Linked DNA regions of Drosophila melanogaster. The protein of the gene in region 2 interacts with the protein of the main gene of each other region in a pairwise test. Each region holds a gene or a part of one and is shown on either strand. Other genes may lie near its edges. The genes, in order: l(2)05714, CG15293, CG40045 and TfIIEalpha.

Evidence for each region.
Region 1: the proteins of CG15293 (region 2) and l(2)05714 interact in a two-hybrid assay, tested with the Drosophila melanogaster proteins (one large-scale study listed by BioGRID).
Region 3: the proteins of CG15293 (region 2) and CG40045 interact in a two-hybrid assay, tested with the Drosophila melanogaster proteins (one large-scale study listed by BioGRID).
Region 4: the proteins of CG15293 (region 2) and TfIIEalpha interact in a two-hybrid assay, tested with the Drosophila melanogaster proteins (one large-scale study listed by BioGRID).

The regions. Positions count from the first base shown.
Region 1 is NT_033779.5:4,968,649-4,973,747, reverse strand, and holds l(2)05714 (lethal (2) 05714), read left to right. Parts: upstream 1-2,262; 5' UTR 2,263-2,451; coding exon 2,452-2,694; intron 2,695-2,963; coding exon 2,964-3,536; 3' UTR 3,537-3,601; downstream 3,602-5,099. Other genes in the region: CG14043 (uncharacterized protein), read right to left, coding at 134-1,936; Polr1C (RNA polymerase I and III subunit C), read right to left, coding at 3,602-4,463, 4,524-4,663; Scox (synthesis of cytochrome c oxidase), read left to right, coding at 4,923-5,099.
Region 2 is NT_033779.5:14,106,651-14,111,489, forward strand, and holds CG15293 (uncharacterized protein), read right to left. Parts: upstream 2,798-4,839; 5' UTR 2,602-2,797; coding exon 2,545-2,601; intron 2,491-2,544; coding exon 1,546-2,490; 3' UTR 1,407-1,545; downstream 1-1,406. Other genes in the region: CG46301 (uncharacterized protein), read left to right, coding at 1-4; CG31769 (uncharacterized protein), read right to left, coding at 3,043-3,924, 3,982-4,035.
Region 3 is NT_037436.4:24,025,725-24,035,083, reverse strand, and holds the start of CG40045 (uncharacterized protein), read right to left. Parts: upstream 6,570-9,359; 5' UTR 6,407-6,569; coding exon 6,361-6,406; intron 6,274-6,360; exon of another isoform or gene 6,146-6,273; intron 4,330-6,145; coding exon 4,227-4,329; intron 207-4,226; exon of another isoform or gene 107-206; coding exon of another isoform or gene 66-106; intron 1-65.
Region 4 is NT_037436.4:11,679,983-11,685,184, reverse strand, and holds TfIIEalpha (transcription factor IIEalpha), read right to left. Parts: upstream 3,148-5,202; 5' UTR 2,963-3,147; intron 2,885-2,962; 5' UTR 2,874-2,884; coding exon 1,778-2,873; intron 1,710-1,777; coding exon 1,516-1,709; 3' UTR 1,380-1,515; downstream 1-1,379. Other genes in the region: Sugb (sugar baby), read right to left, coding at 540-603.

The DNA.
Region 1 (5,099 bases), 9.1 Mb from region 2:
GGCTTACTTTCGCTATCAGAATGTAACATGTAAGTTACTAATGTATTAACAATTAAATATCCTTGAAAGAAACGCGATTTATTTTGACTACGTATAAAGCTTTTAGCAAATGCAATTAATTTTTTGGAAATTCTCACGCGGTTAGCCCAGCCTTGTTCAACCTGGCCTTAATCGTGTTTATCTTGAGCGGCAACAGCTGGAGCATTTCACGCACAACACCAATCTCGCCCTGCAGCGTCTCGGCCGCCTCCTTGTGCAGCTGGCAACCAGCATCGAATCTCTGGTAGTAGGTGTGGCAACTAGTTAGGTGCTCCAGCTGCTGGAGCGGATGGCCACTGATCAGCTTGTAGTAGATGCGACCGATGTGGAAGTGGGCGTAGAGCATGTGGCGTTGCTCCTCCACGTCCATGTTGGGTCGCCATTCCTCGCTGGGCGGTTTGACCAGATAGGATTTGACATAGCTCTCAAAGTGCTTGATGGCCTTCATACAGCTCTGATTGACCTTCTTGATGTCCTCCGGCGCTGGCGTGCTAGTGGCCCGAATGATGTCGAGACGGACATCCATCACGGCAGCATGAGCTGTGCCGGCTCCATACCAGCATTCTCGGCATATCTTCATGTAAAAGATGGGGTCAAGCAGATCCAAAAGATCTTCCAGATACTTGGCGCGACGCTTTTGCATCTTGGCCTGGTTTTCTGGATTCTCCTCGAAGAAGGCAATGTGCTCATACGCTTCGGCGTAATCCTGCATTATCTTTGAATACTCAGTAGCTTCGTTCTCGGCCTTGTAATAGTCCTTGGCTATGTCGAGCCACTCGTTCACAAAATGAAACACCAACTTGGCATCGTCGAAGGTCAGGCAGTATTCACAACTAATACGATTTTCACACGCGGTGAGGTCAAGTCCAGGAAACCGGGACTGTTCCGCCTCGACCAGCCGCATATTGCGCAGAACGATCTCCAGGTTCTTGGCATCCTCGTCATCTTCGTCCCGCATCAGCCGAAGCTTGGATGTGTTCATTAAATACAATCCATATTTGGCCCAACAGCGTGCCACATCGGCGTAGCGATGTTTAAAGGTCTCCGACACGTCCTGGCGCTGCTTCTCGCTCATCTCCGGCTCCAGCATGTGCACCTCATATTCGGCCATGATGAGCGTAGCAGCGGCCAGGTGATGACGGGCCTCCTCGAAGCGCTTCTCTCCAATATAGAACTGTGACAAGGTGGCGGTGTTCAGTGCGAAATCAATGGGATCGTATGTTTTTGACTCAAGCTGTCGATGGAGGGTGCGATGGCAGCACTTGGCCGACTTTTCCGGCTCACCCAAATGCCCGTACATTTGCGCCATGTAAAATGAGACTAGCGTGTACAGGGATTCCAGTTCCTTGGGACCAGCTTCGTGAGATTGTTGTCCCTCCTCCGGAGGATTGAACACATCTTGAATGGCCAGGGGCTTCAGACCACTGGCTTTGAAGTCCTCGTAGATTTTTTCTGCCTCCAGGAGAATTTCCAGTCCCTTATTGTACTCTTCCTTGGAGGCCAGCACAATGCTAAGCTCGTTGATTGCCCCAATGAATGGAATGATGCCCTCAGGGCACTCCTTAAACGGCGTGACTAGTTCCAGACAACGATTGAGCATCTTTTCGCCCTCTGCCTGCTCCTCTGTGTAGATGTAGATCCTGCCTAGATCCCGGCAAACGAAGGCCAACAGAGAGTGATAGCAGCGATCGTCCTGACCACCGTCCTCCTCGCTGGCCTGCACAGATACCAGTTGGTCGTCCAGCTGCTTCTTCAAGACAATTAGCACATCGCGCGCTTTATAATGGGAGCGGAATGGATCCGTGGGCGGATCATTGCGGCTCTCCTCCTCCACCAGACGGTTGGCCTTCTCGTATAGCTCCTTGAAGTCGCTTAGGATCTCCTTTGGAATGACCATGTTGGCTGAGCACCCACGGTGCAGGCAAAAGCTATCCTGAATTCGGCAAAGCCTTTTTATTTACTATATTTTTTCTCTATGAGTGTGTAGTGTGGCCGTATTGTGACTGCTTAAACTTTACCTGAGACCCAAACCATGAAAGAATATTTTATTTAAAATCTCAAACTAAATTAATTTGAACTATGTACAAGTAAGGTATTTTCAAAAAGTACATAACACAACCATAAACGCCTCTAATATAAACTTGAAGGCATAAAATGTTTATATAAACAAAACAGCTTAGTGTGACCGTTGCGCAGCAACCTCTATGTCGCAACCCTGGAATTAATTGCTGGTATTATAACGTATTCGATTACAGTCACACCGCATCGACTTTCAGATTTTTTTCGCGTCGCAAATTTTTGGAATATACCAAAATATTTACCACCATCAGCTATTAAAGACTGCTTTTGGCGCTCATCTTTCAAAGAATACTTTTCCACAAATCAGACAAGCTTCATCCGAAAGCGGGCACAATGCTGAAGGGTTACAAGACGGATGAGGACAAGAAGGTGAAGCGACTGTACCACCAACGCTATCGCACAGAGTGGGAGAAATATCCGGAGCTCTCCAGCTGGCTGGCGTCTAGTAATGACGGTTACTCGGCGCACTGCAAGATCTGCGACATCAATGTCCTCGCCAGACTAGCGTCCATCAAGCAGCACCTCGCAACGCGGAAACACCAGGAAAGTTTCAAGTACCACAACATTCTTGCCAAGGTGGGATTGGGTTTGTGCATAAGCAATAGGAATGACCCGTGTCCATTATTGATTCAAATATTTTGCGATCCAAACTAAATTTCAAACACGATTTTTGTGTGAGTTTTCGCCATACTTTTCGTTAACTATTCCATTGACTACTTCTTGTGCAATGGTTAACCAAACCAGTAGCTCCCTCTATGCGATGCACAACTTATCGCTCCAAAAAAAAAATTCTCATCTCATTACTAATTTACATAAAATTAACAACTCCGTATTTATACCTACAGAATATGATTAAGGGTGAACTTGTCAAAGATGAGCATGACCCAGACTTGGAGGCCTCCATAATTTCACCCAAAGCAAAGCCCAAAGCCAAATCAAAGACCTATCCAAGGCAAAAGCCAAGGAGCAAAATGCAGCCAAAGATCAAGAACGACACGAAGGTGGAGAGCATGGAGGAGGAGACGGAGGAGGACGAAATCGCCTCGAACGACTCAATCCTGGATGATTTACTCAGAACAGATCAGCCCTATCAAGAGCAAGAATTTGAGGTTGAGAACGAGTTCCTCGAAGTACAACAGAATGAAACAGATCTCCAGGACCAAGAGGTGGTCTACGAGGAAGAGATGATACAGCTCAAGCCGGAAGATACGGAGATTAATAACGAATACCAAGTCGACGCGATGACGGAAGACACCATTATTAGTGAATTTGACTTGTTTGGCAAGAGTTTGGCTCTGCAGCTGAACAACATGGACCTGGAGGACGCACTAATGTGCCAGGAGCGTCTGCAGGTGGTCCTAACGGAATTTCGCCTGAAGGTGCTCAAGCGCAAGAGAGAGCAAGCACGATCTTCGTAGGCTTACAATTTATATCAAGCTGTCTTATGTACATAATATAATTTCTTTAACAACTAAATAAATAACTATTCTGCCTCAATTTCGTCAATTAGCGCCCGGCACTTTCTCTTCAATACCTTGACCGCCTCCAGGAAGATGACATCGGGCTTCAGTGCGCCGACTGATTCCACGGAGAAAATGTAGTGATCTCGGATACGGGCCAAAGTCACAGCGTCGTTTAGCTGGGGATAGCGATACACATTTCGGCTGCACGTGTCGTAGCGTGCATCCTTTACATAGGCAGTTTCATTCTCGTCAATGCCAATTACTCCTGGTGAGAAACAGTTCTGTAATAGGTACGCATCCTTACCGGTCACCTCGCGGTTCAGCTTAATCATGGGCAGCAGTCGGTAGGTGGCCGTGGCCACCGGCGAGAATTTCGCGTGATCCCGTCCAAGTCCCTTAACCGCCACCAGGCGCAGATCCAACTCGTGACCCGGACGCAATTGGGCAATCAGTATGTCATCGTGAATGCAGTTCACAGCACTCTCGCTGTATATCTGCGCCTGCTTTCCTTTGGGCAGCCACTTCAGATGACCCGAGTACACTTTGTGGTTTTTGTAAATGTCATCGAAGTTGGACTGATCTTTTCCAGCATCCCGTCGCCGCGAGCACTTCACCTTCAGCTCAAATTCAAGCGTATCCTGCTCGGTCCCCGCCTCAGTGCTTTCCTCGGTGCGGTATGCGAATAGACGGGGATCAGCCCGCAACGGAAGTAGACCCATTCGATGGGCAAGTACCTCGTCCTGGATGATCGAGGTGTTGTTGTATATGTACACCTTTTCGATGGCCATGCTGGGCACATCGCTGAGCATCAGGCGACGGAAGGCATTTGCAATGGCGGGATACACGCCAATCAGATCGAACTCCAGGCCGTCTTCGTCGTTTCTAGAAGTGAACACCAATTGTTAATCGACTCGTAAGATTCTAATTTCTATTGAGATTTACCTGACGATTTTGATGTGCAGCTTTTCCTTGAAAGCCTGAACGGAAAATACATCGTCCGCCAGTCCATAGTCCTGCGGATCCTGCTTCACCCGATACTCCTCCATGTACAGAAGCGGCTCCTTGCGATTTTTGCTTGCCATTTGCCCCGGTGTTTTTATTAAATAATTTAACAAAATTGAACCGCACGTGTTGGAATCAATAAGACCGCCTTCTAATACCAAAATATACCAAACTAACTAACAAACTAACTAATATACTAAATAAATATACTTTATGTACTAAATAAATGCTGTTTCGCCGTGACTGGCTGAATAGGAAGAAGCAGCAGGACACCGGCGATATTTTTATTTCTCCAGAAGATTTACGTAAAGCCTTCAAATTTCTGAAACCGGGCGTAAGATGTCCCGCTCCCTGCAACGCTTAGTGGGCAGCTGTCGTCGCTGGGCACAACAGCCCGCAATTCGTCATTATGCCGCTCCCGCAGATTCCACTAAAGGCAAGGGTCCGATCTCTTGGAGAAGTCTGGCCGTCATTGGAGCCCTTGGAGCCGGAGGAGTGGGCTTCATGCTGTACGTG
Region 2 (4,839 bases):
TCTGGTGAGTAAGGACTTCAAGTACTCGCTGTAGACCTAAGCGAATGTTGAGAATGTATTTGAGAAGTTATGATAGTTTCCACTACGGTTAGTTGAATGGAAACATCCGATCTCAAATGAGCAATCACAGTTTTATTGAGCAATACGTTTATTTTTTTACCAAATTACTTTGAAACTTACATACATTATTGATGGAAACACAAAAGAAAAAAAAAAACGTTGTCAATCATTGGGTAATTCTTATTCCCAGTCATATATATTTTATATTGAACGTATTATATTAAATTTGAAAGCCGCTGGCGATGTGAAACCTTTATTACAATATCTCATAAAAAAAAATTTACAAATTTATACACCTACATATTTATTCTGTAAAAGAATCATACAAAGGACTCACCGAAATTGTTCAAATATTAATGCTTTTTGTAACATATTTTATGCGTAGTTGAATTTTACATATGTTTTACGCCTAAAGGCCAATGCGCAACTATTATTTGCTTTTTTGGCTTTAACCCGCATATTTAGACTTAAGAAAAAATGCTTTTACCACGATTTCCACACCATTTCCACTCGATAAAACAACATTTTTTTACTAATCTAGTTTCTTTTTTCTCTGACATGCTTGGCTTATAAATGTAACCCAACTAATGCAATGCTAACGAGCGAGAAAGACAATGACAGAAATGCACTTTTGTCAGCCGAACAACTACCACCAGGCTGTCAGCCACACAACTACAAAGAACTGCAACCGAATCACCCATGACCAACACATTGCTTTCGGCCACCAAATGCGTTTTGCACTGAGCTGCGCACAAAATTATGCAATAGTTTTTTTCGACGTGCTTTAATCAGTTTGCCGTGAAATTCCAATTGAATTTCTCGTTCCGCGCTGCGTTTTTTATATATTTATAATTTTGATCTCCTAATGCTTGAATTATTTTTGACTGCAAGTATTTTTTTCCCTTGCTGAAATGTTTTGTTTATCATGCTTAGTTTCCAAATGTTATTATTTTATATTATTTCGTTGATTTTTTTATTATCCCAATTATATTTTTCCTTTCTTTTATTTTTTACAGCTCAGTTGTTAGCGAAAACAAAAAAAATGTTTGTAATAAATTAGCTATACAAAACTATTAATGCTTTTTAATTAATTTGGCCAACGATCTGAAAATAAAGAATTATTAATTTCCCAAAATGTACACATGTATGCGAGTAGTTTTTGAATAATTTAGAGCGCTTTGTAGTTGCTAACATATGTATATTTAAATTTGCCAATATATATATATATATATATAAGCAGGTAAGTTTGTACAATATTTTCCATTCCATTTCGATTAAACTGAAAGTTATGTATCAAATCAGACACCCTTATCAAATTCCCACCTACATATATAAAGGTTATATTTCAGTGATAGATTGATTTAGAAATTTTATTACAATTTCTGGGTTTAGCCCAGGCTGATAAGCTTATTTATTAAACTGCGCTAAGCATTGTTTACAAAATATTGCGATGATTTCCATATATTAATATTTATAATGAGCTATTTACTTGGTCGGCCTCTGCTGCTGAGATCCTTCGTTGGTTCCTTTGACTGAGCTTAGAACAAATCTGGCAGTTAGAATTCTGCCATTCTTATCCACAATAGTCTTGACCACTTCACCATTCGAATTCTCAATTTCTGAGGCACTCAGATTCACTTGTTTCAAATAATCATCTATGACTCGATCTGATCCGTCGTCTCTTGGTAATGCTGAACTGAACCGGGGAACTGAAGTCCGCTGCGTGGTGGTTGAGTCAATCACTGGCACAAAGACGGGTTCCCTTTGGCTTGGTCGGGAATTATATACATAGTTGAAATCAATAGGTCCAGTAGATGGGGAACGAGATGGGGAAAAGACTGAGGTGTTAGGATTCTCGGCTGGATGGTTTGAGTCTGTGTTAATTGGACCAGGCTCTCTGGAGATGTCGGGGAATATCTGCTTGAATACATTACTGCCTGGGACCAGAATGCCGCTATAAGTTCTAGTTGTGGTGGTCACCTTGCGTCCCGAGCTATCCGTTTCCGTCTTGGTTGTAACTTTCGGAGTAACTCCCGCTGGCAGCTCCCAATTCGGAAATCTCGGAAATTCAGTGCTAAATATCTTTGTCTCGAAATTACCTGTACCGAAGTTGGAATCTCCAATGGGACGGAACTGACGACCGGCACTCGGCACATACTCCCAATCTTGCTGGGGCTTAGAGCCTGAATTATCCTCTAGCCTAGCAGGCAGTATTCCCTCTGAGACCTTGCGTCTTAAAATCGATCTGAAATCCGGACCTAACTCATAGGTCAAAGTGGTGACTTGACCAGCATCGTTTTGAGTTCTGATAACCAGCGGCTGCTGGCTGTGCCACATTTCTCGCAAGCCAACTTCATCTAAACCTATTTGCTTGGCCGCATTCAAAAGTTCCGGAGTCGGTTCGGCGGATAAAGAAGTGGCAGCTGCTCCCTGTGAGCGAAAGATGACGTCAGTTTCAGATTTCTGGAGATTTCCATGACCTACCTTCAGCTTCAGAAGCAGCAAGCTGACACAGATTGCCAGTAGATAGGAGTACTGCATATTCGATCTTTCCGCGACACTTGTGAATACTTCGATCGACAGAATCGAACTGATTTTAGAATTCTAATCGACTGACCTCGTCGCTTCTATTCGCAGTGTCTACTCAAAGGTTATCAACAGTTTTCGCAAAGTCGCCATTATCAAAGAGTGTTAACAGAATGCGTTTCCCAAAGCTTTCATAAAAACATATTGTAGTTTCTTCATAAGTTTCTTATAACAAATTGCTTCTGGATCCTGGAAATTCACTTTGTTAAATTGCGTTTAGAAGTTGAATCATACTGTAATGAACAAGAAACTACTATATAAGTTTTCAATACTTATATTGCCACTACAAGAAGGTTCAATGCGGTAAACATAGATTTATTTATATTATTTATACTAAACTTTTCTGTTAATTTAAATTGAGCTTTTCTTGTTCACATATCTCTTTATTTATGTATATCATTTTCCAGTGCGACTTTGATAGTTTGCCGCACCCCCTTGTTCGTTCTCATTGCTCAGTGCAAAACTGGCACTTAGAACGCGTCCTTGTTTGTCCACGATTGTGGTGACCACCTGGCCATCCTCCTCTTTGATGTCCGCGACAGTGAGATCCACCTTTGCCAAAAAGTCATCGATTGTCGAGTCAGTTCCGTCGCCTTTGGGTGCGAGCGTGGGCAGCGGGACCGAACTTCGCTCGGTTGATGTTGGTTCTGGGACTGGAACCCATATGGGCTCCGTATCCTTCAAGTTTGGGGGTGCCAGGGTAGGCAAAGTTACGATAGGCCGGTGTGTGGATGTTGGATTTGGCAGCCATCTATCACTATCCGATTCACTATTGGGAATGTGTTCATTTTCTTTGGGGACGTCTTGAGGGCGTAAATTCCACGCATCCTGCTCATTTACCCGCGGATCTTCTCGGCGAGGATTATTTTCATTACTGCGATCTTCTTCGGGAGGAATACGTTGCGGCTTAAATTCCGGGATAAACGGAAAATTTTGGAAGACGTTATAGTCAGGAAAACCAAAACCGACCGGGTTTAGAAAGGGATTATTGTAGACACTGCCAAGTCGTAATGTCGGTTGAAACTGGCTAAGTAAACATTCCAATTTTCCTTGAGCTTGCAAGAGCATGACTTCCGTTCTCCTTATGAGTTCCTCTTCGTTGGGGCTCAACATGTAGGTTTCCCTAATCACCTCACCGCACGGTTTAGTTTTTGTAACTATCCACGGCCTTTTAGTGATCCGCATATTATTTACGACTGTTTCAAGCACGTTCCAATGCCTAGCCTGTGCATACACAGAGGGGGGGAGTGGCCGTTCCATAGGCATAGTTGCTCCCATCTGCAAATGGGAAAAATAGTAATATTTTTTGTATGTTTGGGATATTAAGTTAGTTACCCGTAATTGAAGAAGCAAACTAATGCAAACAATCAGATGACTTTCGAAATTCATTCTTTGTTTTAAACCGGAACATGCGACCGCTTCGAGTACCTAGTTGAAACTGAACTTGATTCCGCATAGCGCACAATTGACGATCGATACTAATCGCGCTGTATGTATATATATATATATAGTATATATTTAGATTTATTCTTAGAGTCACGTATACAGCTGTTTACGCAGAGAATGAAGCCATCTTGAAAGGAACTTTAAGCTTTTTTCCCTTTAAATGCGGATACATATTAATAAATTTACAAAACTCAAAACTTCGCTCGTATTAAAATAAAAAAATTATTCATAAATAATGTAAGCTTATCACGTATGAGAACTGAGAATTGTTGTCTGCCATTTGCCAGCGGAAAAGACCGGTTTTTGCAGTCTAAATTGTGCTTTTCACTTGAAAAACAAGTCACTCCGCTCTCAGCCTTAAAAACTCATCATCCAACTATATGTTTCTACTCAGCCATTAGGAATAGTTCAGTACTGCGGGTTTTTAAGCTTGAGAGTGCGCCTTAAATTGACATTTAATGAGTATTCATAATCTAAAAATTCACAATAAAACATGTTGGGTATACCCGGGAATGCAAATTGCTCATCACCGCCAATAAAATTTTAGTTACAGAGCTTTGAATTTCTTTATTGCAAGTGTAATCCCAAGCTATTGATAGCGGTGAGCAATGATTCAACTAGTTTGGTTTTTTTGATTCCAAACAGTTCACTTCCGTGAATGGCCTTACTGATTACACATATTATTTTATAGCTAAAAGGAAAGATGAAAACATAAAACATAGAAAAAATATCAATATTATATATTAC
Region 3 (9,359 bases), on a different chromosome or scaffold from region 2:
TTGAATACGGTTCGTTAAGTAGGATTGAATTCATATTAGCGGGCAGAAGGAAATCAGAGATGTACCTTGGTGAACAGTAGGTTATAATTAACCGATTGAAAAACATTCCTGAAGACGGTCCTGACAGGCGGCCTTGGCCAACAAAGGTGGTGAACTCATGATCGTCTTTTAGTAAGTACACGTTTAAAGGAAGGTACTTAGTTTAGCTATAAAATGATAATAGGTAATATCCGAGTTGCTTTATTTTTTATGCAGTGAAATTATAAAAGGTTCCATCCTCTATGGTCTTTTGAAATGGAAATGGAATGGACCAGCTTAAGTGCTTGGAGGGACCAGAATAACGCAGTAGTATACTCTATATTGGAGCTACGATTTTAAATGGAGTAAGCAGTTTTCACCAATTTGGTGAGCATCGATTGCTCGAAAAATCTTGTAGCATACGGAGCTGTGCAGTAAATAATTGCATTTTTCATTACTGTATTTGGAGAAATCACATTATCCAGCTGACCATGGAGGCGTATTGTAGGATTAAAGCAAAGACACTACAATAACAAGATGCGTAACGCCATACGATTTTTTGGCACACGATTTTTTCGCCGTGGCTCTAGAGGTGGCTCCAGGCTCTCTCGAATTTTTGGTAGAGAGCGAGAGAGCGGAGAGCGCTACAGCGAACAGGTCTTTTCAGCGCATAAAGTGATAGCAGACAACTGTATGTGTGCACACGTATGCTCATGCATTTTAATTTGACAAAATATGCCCTTCACCTTAGAAGTTCTTTGACTTTAAATCTATATTATTTTTGATCAATTGGCACCATTCGAAAAATTCTTGTTTTGCATTGCCTTAACGTTATTATTGTTTTTTGAAAATAGATTAGAAAAAGCCAAATCTATGTACATATTATCACAAAATAAATTTAAAAATTGACTTTATATAAGAATATTTGTCATTAGAGTATTCATCTTGCGGCGTGTGAAAAATTAATAAGGCAATGCTTGTTGATAAGATATGACCAAAGCAAAGACACTAGAATAATTCTAGTGTCTTTGATATGACTTTTGCAATAAACAGTTATCATATTCTTATGAAATTTATGAAATTACAGTAGTTATAATAATTTCTATTGTACTTCCTTTAATTATTTAGTATATTTATTAAGTCATTTAACATTAAAAGTATTTCAAAAGAAATATTTCGCATTTAAGTCACACAAGCAAGCAAATTCTATTTTTAGATTTCTTACGTTCTCAGCGTAAGCGAGCAGAAAGAGAGCAATTTTGGCCGTCACTAAAAAAGTGGCTGCATAGTGCCAAACCAATGTATGGCCGTTACGCATCTTGTTATTCTAGTGTCTTTGATTAAACATTAGCTACTGGGCATACGAGCCCCAACCACTATTAATCTGAACAGTAGGCGAATTTTTTCAATACTACTATAGCAGTTTGTTCAGCAGTTTGATCTAGTTTCAACAACAAAAATATGAGTTATTTACTCAAAAGGTAGACTTAAGAGATAAGAAAAAATAACCACTATTAATTCAAACGCTGCGTAATATAACAAATTTATTAATATTAGAATTGTATAACGTCGCCACACGTTTTGGCGTTGATTTTAAAAAGTTTTGGCAATGTCCTCGAGAAATCGAGTCTCACATCGCTTACAACTTCATTTAAAGACCGAAATGTTCCTTTGTGGCTCATTTCAAAGATCTCTTTTTATTAGCCACCAAAATTGTTTATGGGACTTAGATCTGGACTATTTGATGGCCAATCTAAAGCGTAACTTTTGTATATACAGCTGCGTTTAAAATAATAGCACTACTGCAGGTGGAAAGTTGATTTCGTAAAAAAAAATTATTAAATGTTTATTTTTTTTAAAGTCAGATTGCATGAATAATAAGTACCATATGTTGCATCTCTAAGCAAGAAATTTTTACTCTTTCAATGTAACGGTTCTTTTTTGTTTTTGGGCACTTGCTGCAAAAGTGCCCAAAATGAGGCGGTAACAAAAATAGCACTGACCACGTATTTGCTGAATAAAATTAATAGGGGTGATTACTTTGGTTTTTTTTCGACAAATTTTGAAAAACGGAGTTGCACTAAAGGTTTTAATTGAATTTTTTCCAAACGAAGACCAAAAATTCTCTAGTCATGGGTCGCGGAAAGCATTGTACCGTCGAAAAAAGAAATTTGATTAAAAACATGATCTCTGAAGGTAAAACCTACTCTGAAATTGGTCGCATTGTCGGTTGCTGAAACAAAATGATCCGCAAAGCACTGCTGTTTGTCGAAAAGAACGAAACATGGAAGAAGGAGCTTCAGATAGCTAAAAGCGTGGAAACTGTTCGCAAACGCTTAGGACAAAGCAACCTTAATGCGTGCAGCCCCAGAAAAGTCCCGCTTTTGACTGTTAAGCATGTCGCAAAGCGAATCGAATATGACAAGATTTCCAAGGACTGGCCTGTGGAGAAGTGGCACAACATTTTGTGGTCAGATGAGAGCAAAATTGTGTTGCTTGGTGGGAAAGGCTCTCGGTCTTATGTTCGGCGTCCACCGCCGTTGGTTTGGACATTTCAACAGGATAACGACCCAAAACAGACGAGCAAGAAAGCTCGAAAGAGCAGAAATCGATAAGAGTAATGAAATGGCCTGCTCAGTCACTTGAATCCAATCGAAAACCTTTGGGCGAACGTGAAAAAAAGGTTTCTGAAGTCAAACCCAATAATAACGAGGAACTTTGGGGTGTGGTCAAGGATTCAGGGAGCAAAATTCCTCAATAACGGTGCCAGGACTTGGTGGACTCCATGCCAAGACATTGGGCGGCTGTCATTGGCACCAAAGGTCACGCAACCAAATATTAAGATTCTTTAAACATAGTTCTTAAGATATAATCCATTTGTTGAATTATTTTTTCATTTTTTTGGTTAGCTTTAGCAAACTACGAGAAACAGTGCTATTTTTGTTACCGCCTAAATATGAAGGTTTTTTCGTTTTACCACTTATTTTTAAAATATCCATTAGATCTGTTACTAATTTCGTTATTTCGATTGAAAATCATTGTAGTATTTAAGTTTAGTGAGTAAAATAATGAAAAAGTGTCAGAAAATACAGAAACGATGGGACAAACACGAAATGTGCTTATGGTGCTATTATTGTTACCGCAAATGTACATCTAATATTACATGTACATACATATGATATCGAGAAGCCTTTCAGGGAATTCTTACAAAGGCATTTCAGGGAATGAATAAAGAAGCATTCCCTGAATGCCTTCATGTCGTAGTACTTCTCGAATTATGCTCGTATGCACATAAAACATTGAAATTTCATCATTGGTTTAAATGTAGTGATGGACAAACTCCTACAGAAAAAGACACGGCTGTAGAATCGAAAAATCTCGCGATCTTTACTCACCCCGAACCCAACAAAAAATTGTTGTTTGTAATAACACTTATGAACTGAAGACATTAGAATAACAAATTGCGTAACGTCATACGATTTTTTTCGCACACGACTTTTTGATGTTGTCTCTGAAGCTGGCTCCAGCTTTCTCAAATTTTTGATCTGTGATCTCAGAACTATAAGTTAAGCTTGTTTAAGATGGTTGCTACGCTTTTGTGAGTGGAAATCAATGTTTTCTGATTCTACATCTGCATGCCCAATCTCAACTCTCTTATGTCTAAACCATTATTTAAAATGAGTCTATGAGTCTTGTACATTTCTATCGATTTGAAAAAAAATGTTTGTGCCCCCACTCTTACGCACTAAAACCGCCCAAACCTGCCTCGATCACATTGTTGAAAATGTTTTGGATATTTTTCATATTTTTATAAGACTTGTAAATTTTTATCAATTTATCAAAACTTTTTGGCACGCCTAATCTAACGCCCTAAAGCCGTCAAACCGGTCACGCCCACCCTTTTGAACAACTTTATAATTTGTTTTCTCATTTTATTCCTCAATATCTATCGATATCTCAGAAAAAATTATGAAATTTCGCGTTCGCTTTCACTCTAGCTGAATAACGGGTATCTGATAGTCGGGGAACTCGATTAGAGCATTCTCTTTTGTTTTTGTTGGTGTCAATGGGACAGCCACAACAGAATTTCATTGCTTCATGTATGTCTAGTTTTCGCTTTGACGTACATTGATTGGAATAGCGTCTACAGTGATTGTTGCATAAATATGATTTTTTAAACGAAAAAGAATACAATGTTCATAGCATACTACAGTGTATCTGGCGGTCCAATTATTAAAACTTCCCAGCGAAATATATCATTCTCATCAATTAAACCAGCGGAGAATCCTTCCACTGGATTCTTGTTTAGTTCTGAAAAGATAAAAATAATTATTAATTTTTAGTAATCACGTGTAACAATCTGGTTCCGTAGGTTGTATTTTTTTAAATACGTTCGGCGAGGACCTATTTTATTTTGGATTATGACTATACCACTTAGACGTTGAAAAGAAGGATATGTCAAATTTGTTAAACTGTATATAACAGTAGAAGGTACCGTTTCTGATCGTAAAAAGTATATATGTATGTATATTCAGGATAATTTGTCATGAGCTAGAAAATTAAATTTAACATGCATATTCCTTTTGGTTTTTGCCACTGGTTTTTGCGTAATCTAATGCCCACAAGCCGTAATAAACTGTCACGCCCACCATCGAAAAATGGTTTGGTTTCCCAGTCGAAATTTAAATTATTCTATAATTCTGTAAAATTAGCATGTTTCACAAGTAAGAATTTTTCAGTTTTCTGATGGTCGACTAAAAGAATTGGACTGTCAAATTATTTGAAAACAAGAATATTATATCTATATTCTCTATATTCTATTAAAATTCTTTTGGCAAATCGATAAAAATTGACATGAAAAATGGGAAAATATATAAATGAGAACATATTTTTTAAAAAAGTTTGGCGTGGTTGGGCGATTACAGTCGACGTGCCGAAACTTCAATAGAAATTACAACCCACAATAAACTGAACAAAAAGTAAACAACAAATTTAAAGATTCGGCGATGTACAGTAAAGTTTTATGTCCAGTCTCTTACAGGTTGAATCCACTTATGGATTTAAATATACGTGTGTGCGTAATGCACGCTCTCTTAGGGTTGTTGTTTCAACTGCACATATGAATTTAAGATAATATGAAAAGTTTGAAACAGGTGAAAAAGAGTAAATCTGACTCTAAAACGTAAATATTTCTAGATCATGATCACTATTCGAGTCGATCTAGCGATATCTGTCTATCCGTCCTTATGATTGTCGAGATCTTGATGGAAAATTATAGAAAGATAAAATAAAGCATGTAGATGCTAGTGACTCCCTCTAGCGATCACAAACAAATTAACAAATTAATAATTTTTATTATAGAATAAAAACATATGTATAAACATATACATACATATGTATATAAAAAATCACATATACATACATAAATACATTTTTTAGTTAGTAGTATGAGTCAAACGAATTTAAAAAGCTCATTCCATTGTTGACATGTTCGATTAAATAACAAAGTATATGGTTTCATTTGTTTTAAAATACTGTTGCCCCTGTAGCAAAATGCTATTCGCGATTAATGGCTGAAAATAAGAAATGGGCTAAGCATTGTAAAGGTTGTAATGAACATTGTTTAACCCTACAAATAACATAAATGCTTTATTAGGTTACCTTGAACATCAATTAACCATAACTTTGTAGAGTGTTAACAAAAATATGATAATAATATATCTATCATTCGGCCAAGTCTTTAAGTGTTGTTGAATGTCTAAATCATTAGAAAACAATTTCTTTCCAAAAATTTTAATTTAAGGCAGTGAAGGGAACACTACCAAAATTTGTATATACATACACACATATGTGTAGATGTAAGCATTTATTAGAGTTAGAAAGTAATATATATTATGTGTACCTTCATACACATATATAAATTTATCTTTTCGGCATATTAAGCAAACTCCTGCTCAAATTTTATCATTAATTTGAGTACATAATAATATATACCACGAGATTTTTAAAAAGAAGGGTAGACACAAATATTTACACATATATGTATTGGCGCATATACACATTTATTATCCTATGTAAGAGTATACTATTAACTTTACAAAAAAGAACAAGAATTTATTAAAATTACCTTAAGATATAGGTAATATTTAAGCTACAAATTACATATGTGCACTCATATTACACATAATATATGTATTTGGTTGAGCATTGCCAGCTTATGGTTTTTGCACCAATTTTAAAACCACATGTGCAAGACTGGAAAAATAATTTCATATACATATGTAAAAACATTTATATATACATTCTTGCTCATTTATATACGTTTGAAGTTGTTAAACTTACCTGCCAATTGTTTTTTTAACAGTAAAGATGACTGAAGTTCAGACATTCTAAGTTGTATGATAAATGAATTGGTTCAGTTTAACGCACAAGTAATTAACACAAATAAAAATTGTATGCTTAAAAATAAGTTAGTATTGAAAGTAAATATAATGATCGACATCGACCACCGAATTTTCTATAAAGGCCAAACATAAAAAAGAACTAGTTATACAAGTTTAACACAGATCTAGCTCCTGTGAAGACGAATGTGACACAATAACACTTGTTTCCAACTACACTTATATTACATTTACACTACGTTTGACTGCTTCTGGTTGGCTAACAGGTACCGGGGATATATATATACAAATCCTATACTTACAAAAAAAATATAAGGGGCAATCCCAAAATGAAGAAAAACGGTTAATATCATCACATATTGCCAGCAGAGTTTGCCGTATGGCTGGTACTAAGCCCGGTTTAATGTATGCCAATAGACTTTGCGGTTAAATTTGTAAAAAGTTCTGTAGATATCATCCTTACCTTAACCTTTCTGTATTCTTTTGTTTATTTAAAAATATATGTTATCAAAATTTATGAGGATTAAAATTTATAAATACCAACACAAGTTCAAAATAGAATAGAATAGACAACATGCTTGCTCTTGATAACAAACCACTGTAATTGGATTGGAAATAAACAAGTTTATTGAATGAACAACATATTATTAATTTGCTTATAATTTTCTTATTTATGGTATTGAAGCTATGATTAATAACAACATAAATAAATTATTGCAGAGCTTTTGTGAGCCGATTACAGTTACAGCAGTTGCCCACATATACGATACCGACCAAAAAACATTGAAATGCAAGAATATTTTTTAACCCTATCCCTAACAAACGTATAAAATGCTTTAAAAATCGCGAAACGCATATTCAGTGTAAGAACCAATTGTTTTCCATATGAGTTTTTAAATAGATTGGCTGGGTTCCACTGTGGTTCTCGTCAATATTTTAAGTCCCACTTATTTTTCTACGCACTCTTCTATCGGTTTGCGGGCCGATATCAATTTTGATCTAAGAAACAAATTTACAGATTTCGAGTTTTGGCCAATGTCGTTGCAATATGACAGGATGAAATATTATTAAAAAATATATGCCGTAACTATAATTATTTTAACGAAGATTTTTTATACTCTATTGTTAAATTCTCCGCTCGAATATATTGCCGATTTATATCTATATTTACTTTAATTATGAATAATGTGTAAATATGTTATTAACGACAAACTTCAACAGGGGAATGTTAGCAGTTATTATTTATGTAGGCGATCTTACAGCATTAAAACTAATTTCATCATTATTTTAACTTTTTTTTTTTTTTTTTTTTTTTTTTTTACTTTGCTTTTATTTATTGAATCTTCTTGTATAAGAACTAACAATAAGTTTAAAAATCTTAACTATAACAAGTATTTTTTGAACAGTTGTATTATTTTTCCAACTGTTCTATGTTTAAACGGCCCTAATAATTTATTCGCTGGGTTGGTAGGTCCTTTCGCCGGAGACGGGAACGGCTGCTGAGCTGGATTAGACCTCGCGCTAGGTGGTTGGGGTGCGTGTGAAGCTTGCTATGGTATTTTTCCTTAAGTTCCGTGATTGCGTTGGTAACTGATGGGATATTTAAGTCTCTTTGGATGTTTTCACTCCGAACGTACCACGGTGCCCCAGTGATGGTTCTCAGAATCTTTGATTGTGCTCGCTGAATGATGTCAATATTGCTGTTGCTGGCATTGCCCCATAACTGTGAGCCATAGGTCCAGATTGGTTTCAATATAGAATTGTAGAGCAAGACCTTGTGATCTAGGCTGAGCGGAGAACCAGAGTTGATGAGCCAGTGTAAGTTGTTGGCTTTGAGTTTAAGTTGGGTTTTTTTGGCTTCAATGTGCCTGCGCCATGTGAGTCTTCTGTCTAGGTGTACTCCTAGGTACGTTACCTCGTCTGCTTTCGGGAGTGGTATGCTGTTCAACAAGAGCGGAGGACAGTCTTGTCTGTTTAGCGTAAACGTCACGTGCTTGCATTTTTGCTCGTTTACTTTTATTCGCCAGTCAGAGAGCCACTTCTCAATGTCGATGAGGTACAGTGCCAACTGTGCTGTAGCTTGGATAGGGGACCTTGAACGGCTAAGGATAGCTGTATCGTCGGCAAATGTGGATACCGTTAAGCGACTATTTGTAGGGATGTCGGCTGTATAGATGAGGTATAAGGTTGGCCCAAGAACGCTGCCTTGGGGGACTCCAGCCTCAATTGTATGAACAGTGGAAGTGGCAGTGTTGCACCGCACTGCAAACTTTCTGTCATAGAGGTAAGACTTTAGAAGTTTGTGTGTGCTTTCGGGTAGGGATATTTTAATTTTAAACATTAGGCCGTCGAGCCAGACTTTGTCGAATGCTTGGGATACGTCTAAAAATACTGCTGTACAGTATTCGCGATATTCAAATGCAGTTCTTATTTCCGTTGTAATACGATTCACCTGTTCAATGGTTCCGTGGCTTTCGCGAAATCCAAATTGGTGGGCTGGGATTATATTGTGGTATATCAGATGTTGATTAAGTCGGATCAGCAGGCATTTTTCGAATAGTTTCGAAATGCATGAGAGTAGACTTATTGGTCTGTAAGATGAAGCGACTGTGTGGTTCTTACCAGGCTTTGGAATCATTATGATCTTCATCATCTTCCATCGTTGTGGAAAGTAACCAAGTTTGGTGATGGCATTAAAGAGCTTGGTTATGTAGCGAACTGCAGAATGTGGCAGCTGGATGATCATTTCCGGTGTTATAAGGTCGTAGCCGGGGGATTTTTTCGGGCTGAGATTGTCTTTGATTATTTTAGTTATTTCTTTAGGACGAAACACAATTGGGGTGTGTTGCTGATGGCGGTTTACGGGATAGGACGGTAGCGCGAATGTGCTAGTAGCCTGGTTTGGCGTGAACACATTTTGTAGGTGAGCGGCAAATGTGT
Region 4 (5,202 bases), on a different chromosome or scaffold from region 2:
AATAAAATATGGATATTAAATGGTTGTAAAATACACTAACATATCAGTAGATACAAGACAATTGAATTTTTTGTAACAGCTCAAAGTTATAAGGGTTACAGCTAATTAAGTTTCGATTACACGACATAAACGTAATGGAATTGCTCCGATTGTAATTAAAAGCCAGCAAAGTGCTGCATCATACGATGGGAATCGAATCGTAACCCGAATCTGCCTGCATTAGCTTATCGCTATTTAACTGGACTTTCATTGCTCTATGTTCTCTATTGCGGGTGATTGCCTTATCTTCGAACATGGTGCTCTATATGTTCATTAATGCATAAGTGCCCTGTGACGAAATCGAAGCTACAGATCAAAAGTTCGCAATTAACAGCTAAATGTATGTACATATGGATGTACGTACACACACTCATATACATATATATACATATATGCAGCACGTGCGTGCCTCTGAAAACGAGAAAACATTATCGGCTGATGTAAGCGATGCGCGGTGCTTAACTTAATGGTTTTGCTAGGTATGGGGAAGGGGTACTTGCCGGCGTTGAAGAGAAAGTAGTGCGCCTTCATGGGCAGCAGCTCCTTATCGATGGTGGCCTTCATTTCGGCGTAATTACGTTGACCCGCGGCACAAAGATCAATACTATCGGTGCTAAACTAGCGCGTTTTTCAGTTCATTCACAAAAAATGCGAGGGCAAGCAGAAAGAGCATGTGCCTGCACACTCACACAGCCAGCAGGTGTTGTTATTTATTTTGCATGTGTGTTTTTGCACGCGGGATCACGTTTCTGCTCCAATTGGAATCCGCTGAGTTGGTTTAATCCGTTTTCCTTTCAAAGAATCAACACTTTTGCTCGTTGGCTATTCGAAGTGCAAGGGAACTTGTCGCACTTTTAGCACGAATTGAGTGCCGCACCACGCACAGTCCGCGGAAATCGAGGGCTCCGGCTAGATGGACATCCAAAACACGACTGAATGGAGCCGCTGGCGTTACGAGCCGAGTGTCAACATGTTTGGTTGTGTTTGCCGTCGTTTGTTTACGAATCCGCCTTATCTGCGGCACACCAATTATTATAAACTGAATACGCCCACCGACGAACAAGAAGAGGCGCCCGGCCGCTCGGTTTTTTATTAGCAACACTTAAATAAACCTAAGAAAAAAAAAAAACAATAATGGCAAACACAGCTGATTGGACCGACTAGGGATGGGAGTTGGTCCAGCTAGAGATGGCACTTGCTTACAAGCGAAAATAACGAGCTTTAATGTATTTTAAAATATTTGTCTATTTAGAAGATTATTGAAAACGTCCAATAGCTTCTATAAATTATAATACACAATTTTTTGCTCAAAATATTTCCCAGTATCAAACTCGGTCTTTGTTTATGCACATTTTTATACGCATTTCATTTGTACACATTCGCTCGAACTAGTGGGTAACTTAAATTACAATGACTCTATGCGTGAGATGGGAAACTCGTGGAAAACGTAGAAATCGTGGCTAATTGCAGACGCCCTCATTCGAATATATGGCTGTAGTGCTGCTGGTATACGTGTATGTAGTTCTCCTTCTCCTGCGGCGTCATCTGGGCTATCAGGTTGTCGTCCAGTTGGTCGAGCGGATGCGGTCGTCCAGCCACTAGCACAGTGGGCACATCGTCGTCCTCCTCCGCGGAATCTGAGTTGATATAATTGTCGAAGTCGACATCAGCTGCAAGTACAAAAACGTATATTAGAACCCATAAAAGATGAGATCGAGAAATGGTTGGTGCTTCTTACGAATCTTGGAATTTTCGATGTCCTTTTCGTCGTCGCTGGAATCGCTAGAGTTGGCGTTCGATGAGCCCACTCGCATACCCTTCATATGCGGCTCCTTCTGGCCCGGCTGCTTCTCATGCTGCAGCAGCACGGACATGATGTCCTCGTTTTCCTTTCGGTTGCGATGCCCAGATCCGCTTGCCGTCTGCACCGCATCGGCCGCGCCATCGGCAGCATCCGTGTCGGTTATCACAGTGCTCTCTGTCATCCAAATGGGGCGCGACTTGCGCTCAATCACCGCATCCGAGGTGTCGTCGCCGCCAATGGTGACGTCCACACGAGTTTCCTCCACGGCAAAGCCCTGGTTTCTCGTCGCCTCACCCGACCACGCCATGCCGTCCGGTCGCGTGGCGTTGGGTTTGTTCAGTCCTCGAATGGTGTCGATGTCCACGGGCTCCGGTTCGAGCACCTCTGGCGCCAGCTTGATGCCCTCCACCTCACGGAGCAGGTCGTACAGTGGCTGCAGCTGCTCGTTGAAGTGCGCTAGCATTAGGCGGGAGTCTTTCTTGGGCATGGCGGCGCTGTCCTCCTCCACGGAACTGCCGCAGAAGGTGCACCGGAACTCCAGCGTGGCCATGTCGAACAGCTGGTCCGCTTCGAGGTCCGTGAATGTTTTGGAACACGAAGAGCACTTAAAACTTGCTCTACTGGTGGCATCACGCTCCTCCGTCTCCATACGCTTGCGCATGAGATCCAGCTTGTACTTCACCACGTTCACGAAGGTCTTGTAGTTGATGAAGTAGTAATTGACCTTCTGCGCCTTACCATCCGGCCCCGTTTCCATTTTAAGCCTGATCTGGATGAACTTGTCGGTGCGCAGCGTGGTTATCCGGGCCCTTAACTGCTTCTTCTCGAAGCGCAACAGCTCGCCGATGTCGTCCTCCTTCATGCAGGGATTCCGCACCAGCATGTCGATGATAAGCGCATCCTCCAGGGAATAGAATCCACGGACCACGAGGCGCGCCAGTTGCTTCAGACTGCTGGGCACCTCGGTCACGTACCGCACCTCCGTCTTCGCTGGCGCTGCGTTCGCTGCAGCCGTCGATGTCGACGACATTGTGTGTTTATCTGGAGGATCGGCATTATTAAGATATATATAAACTGATTTTTTCCTTTTGTTGCGAGTGCTCTCCTCACGCCACTTACCAGACTCTCGAAACCGGAACTCCGGAAGCAGAGCACTTTGCGGTTATTCAATGCAGGCAGTGGGTCCGTGGATCTTCATGGGTCTACCGGCAGTCATCTGCTCGCTGTTTGCCCGTATTTCGTATGATTTTCCACGGCAAAAATAAAATTTCCACCGCCAAATTCTTCTTTGTGCAGCAATGTGGCCAAAGAAATTCCTTCGAAAGTCCTCGAAGCAACGCGAAAACCCCTAAATAAGCCTCGCCTTTAGGTGAAACACTTGGATAGAAGGGTAGCTACGCTTCAAACCGATTTTTAGCCCGCACAATTTAGGGCATTGCCACACCAAACTTTTGAAAAACTCATTTCAAAAACGTAGCGTTGAAAAACATTTTATTAGAGACATTAATTTAGCGAAGAATTTAATAATACGAAAATAATTTAGCTATATTTACTTTAAACCAATAATGTTGTTGTTAACTCGAAAGCATTTTGTAGAAATGTGTTTATACATTTAACAATTTTTTTAGAAACCAAATAACCTTTTAACAACTTTTTACTACTACGGAATTTGCCAGATTTGAACGCACTACATTTACATGTTTGTGCAATGGCTTTACTAACAACTTCGCATCTGAGCGCTGTTTGCTTTGAATGTTTTTGACCGCAGAAATGAGTGAAAATAATCCAACAAGTCGTCCTCTCGCCGCCTTTGTTTATCCGCTCGAAGTGCTTAATATTTCATGCTCCGCTGTCTAGGGTCGTCTATTTTTTAATGCGAACTTCGCCTTGCGTTCGAGTGCATTCCGGTGTAATCCCCCGGAACGAGGCTCGCCCACATAAAAAATACCATGGCTACAGGAGCAGAAGCCAAGCAGAAGCCAAGCAGCCGCCGCGGGGGTGGACTTTCCACGGGATCAGAGGTCGGGGGCGCAGACGTCTCCTTGCGTGTTTATTTGGCAGCCAACACACTTCTGTTGTCCTCGATGAATGTCATGGATATAATTGGACGCACAATGCGAAGTCCGAATCAGCTGCTCCATGTTTACAAATGCCAATTCAACAGACAGAAAATAGGCAAATTTATGGAACACGACGAATCAGTTTCCAAAGAAATTATTTTTGCAAAAAAAAAACTCGTGTTTAACTGGAAATCCTATCAAAAAGATTCTTTCATTGACTAATGATCAAATTAGCATTTAAAGTATTAAAACTAAATATAAAACTCAAAATTTAGCCTTTATTGTTTCACTTCTTCTGCAATAAGTTGACTTTTTGTCGCTTTTCTAACTTAAAATTTTTATAAAGGTTTTTCTTGAAATACATATATAAATATTTGTTGTTATGAATGAAAATTGAAACGCGTTTGAATGTGGTATCTTAATCTTTACTGTAACAAATCTTCAGTTATTTGCAAGATGGTTTATCCTAATATGTATGCTGTAATTTAGTTTCTGTACAAATTGAAATATTAAATAAAAATATATTGCTATTAATGAATATTTAACTTTTAAAATGTTTACAGTGCCAACTGCAGCACGTGAACACCCACGGGCGTCCAGCCTGCAGAGTTGCCTGAATGGCTCGGAAAAGCCCAGTCGCTCAAAGGGTGGGAAACTACTCCGCGGAAACTCCTCCTGAACTTGTTTACCTTGCAGCGGAGGGCAGGGCGCAGACTCAGCGAGAAAAGTGGACACAGACAGGGGAGTAGGCCGAAAGTGCTTAGACGCTTTTCCGAAAAGGAAGCAATAGATACCCTACAGCACTACGTCCATGGGAAAAGCTCTTTTCCGCGCGCGAGGGAGAGAGCAGCGGGCAGTGCGCAGGCTCTCGCTCTCTCTCTCGTTCGTTGCGGGGAAAACAGAAAAAGGCTTTTCCACTTTCGCTGTTGGCATCCGCCTGCAGTTTGAATTTTGAGTCGTGCGCGCTAACGCTCGTTTTCCACGCTTTTCCGCTCGACAATTTTCCAACGGCGGCCACAACAATTACAGGCGACAAAAGCGTGCAAATAAAAACTTGTGTTTCTGCTTTCCCAACGTTTTACTGCAGTTTCCTTCGCTGTCTGCGAGACGGCGGACTTTCTTGCGGCTTTCGTTTTTCCGTTCGCGTGTGTGTTTTCTTTCGGTGTTTTTGTGTGTTTTCCGCTGCGAATACGGAACGCAAAAGGAAGAGCCACGATAAAAAACACAAAGGAAAATTGGTAAAACGCGGCGCCGCCACTTTTGCCAAATTGATTTTTATTGTATGAGACGCAGAGTTCA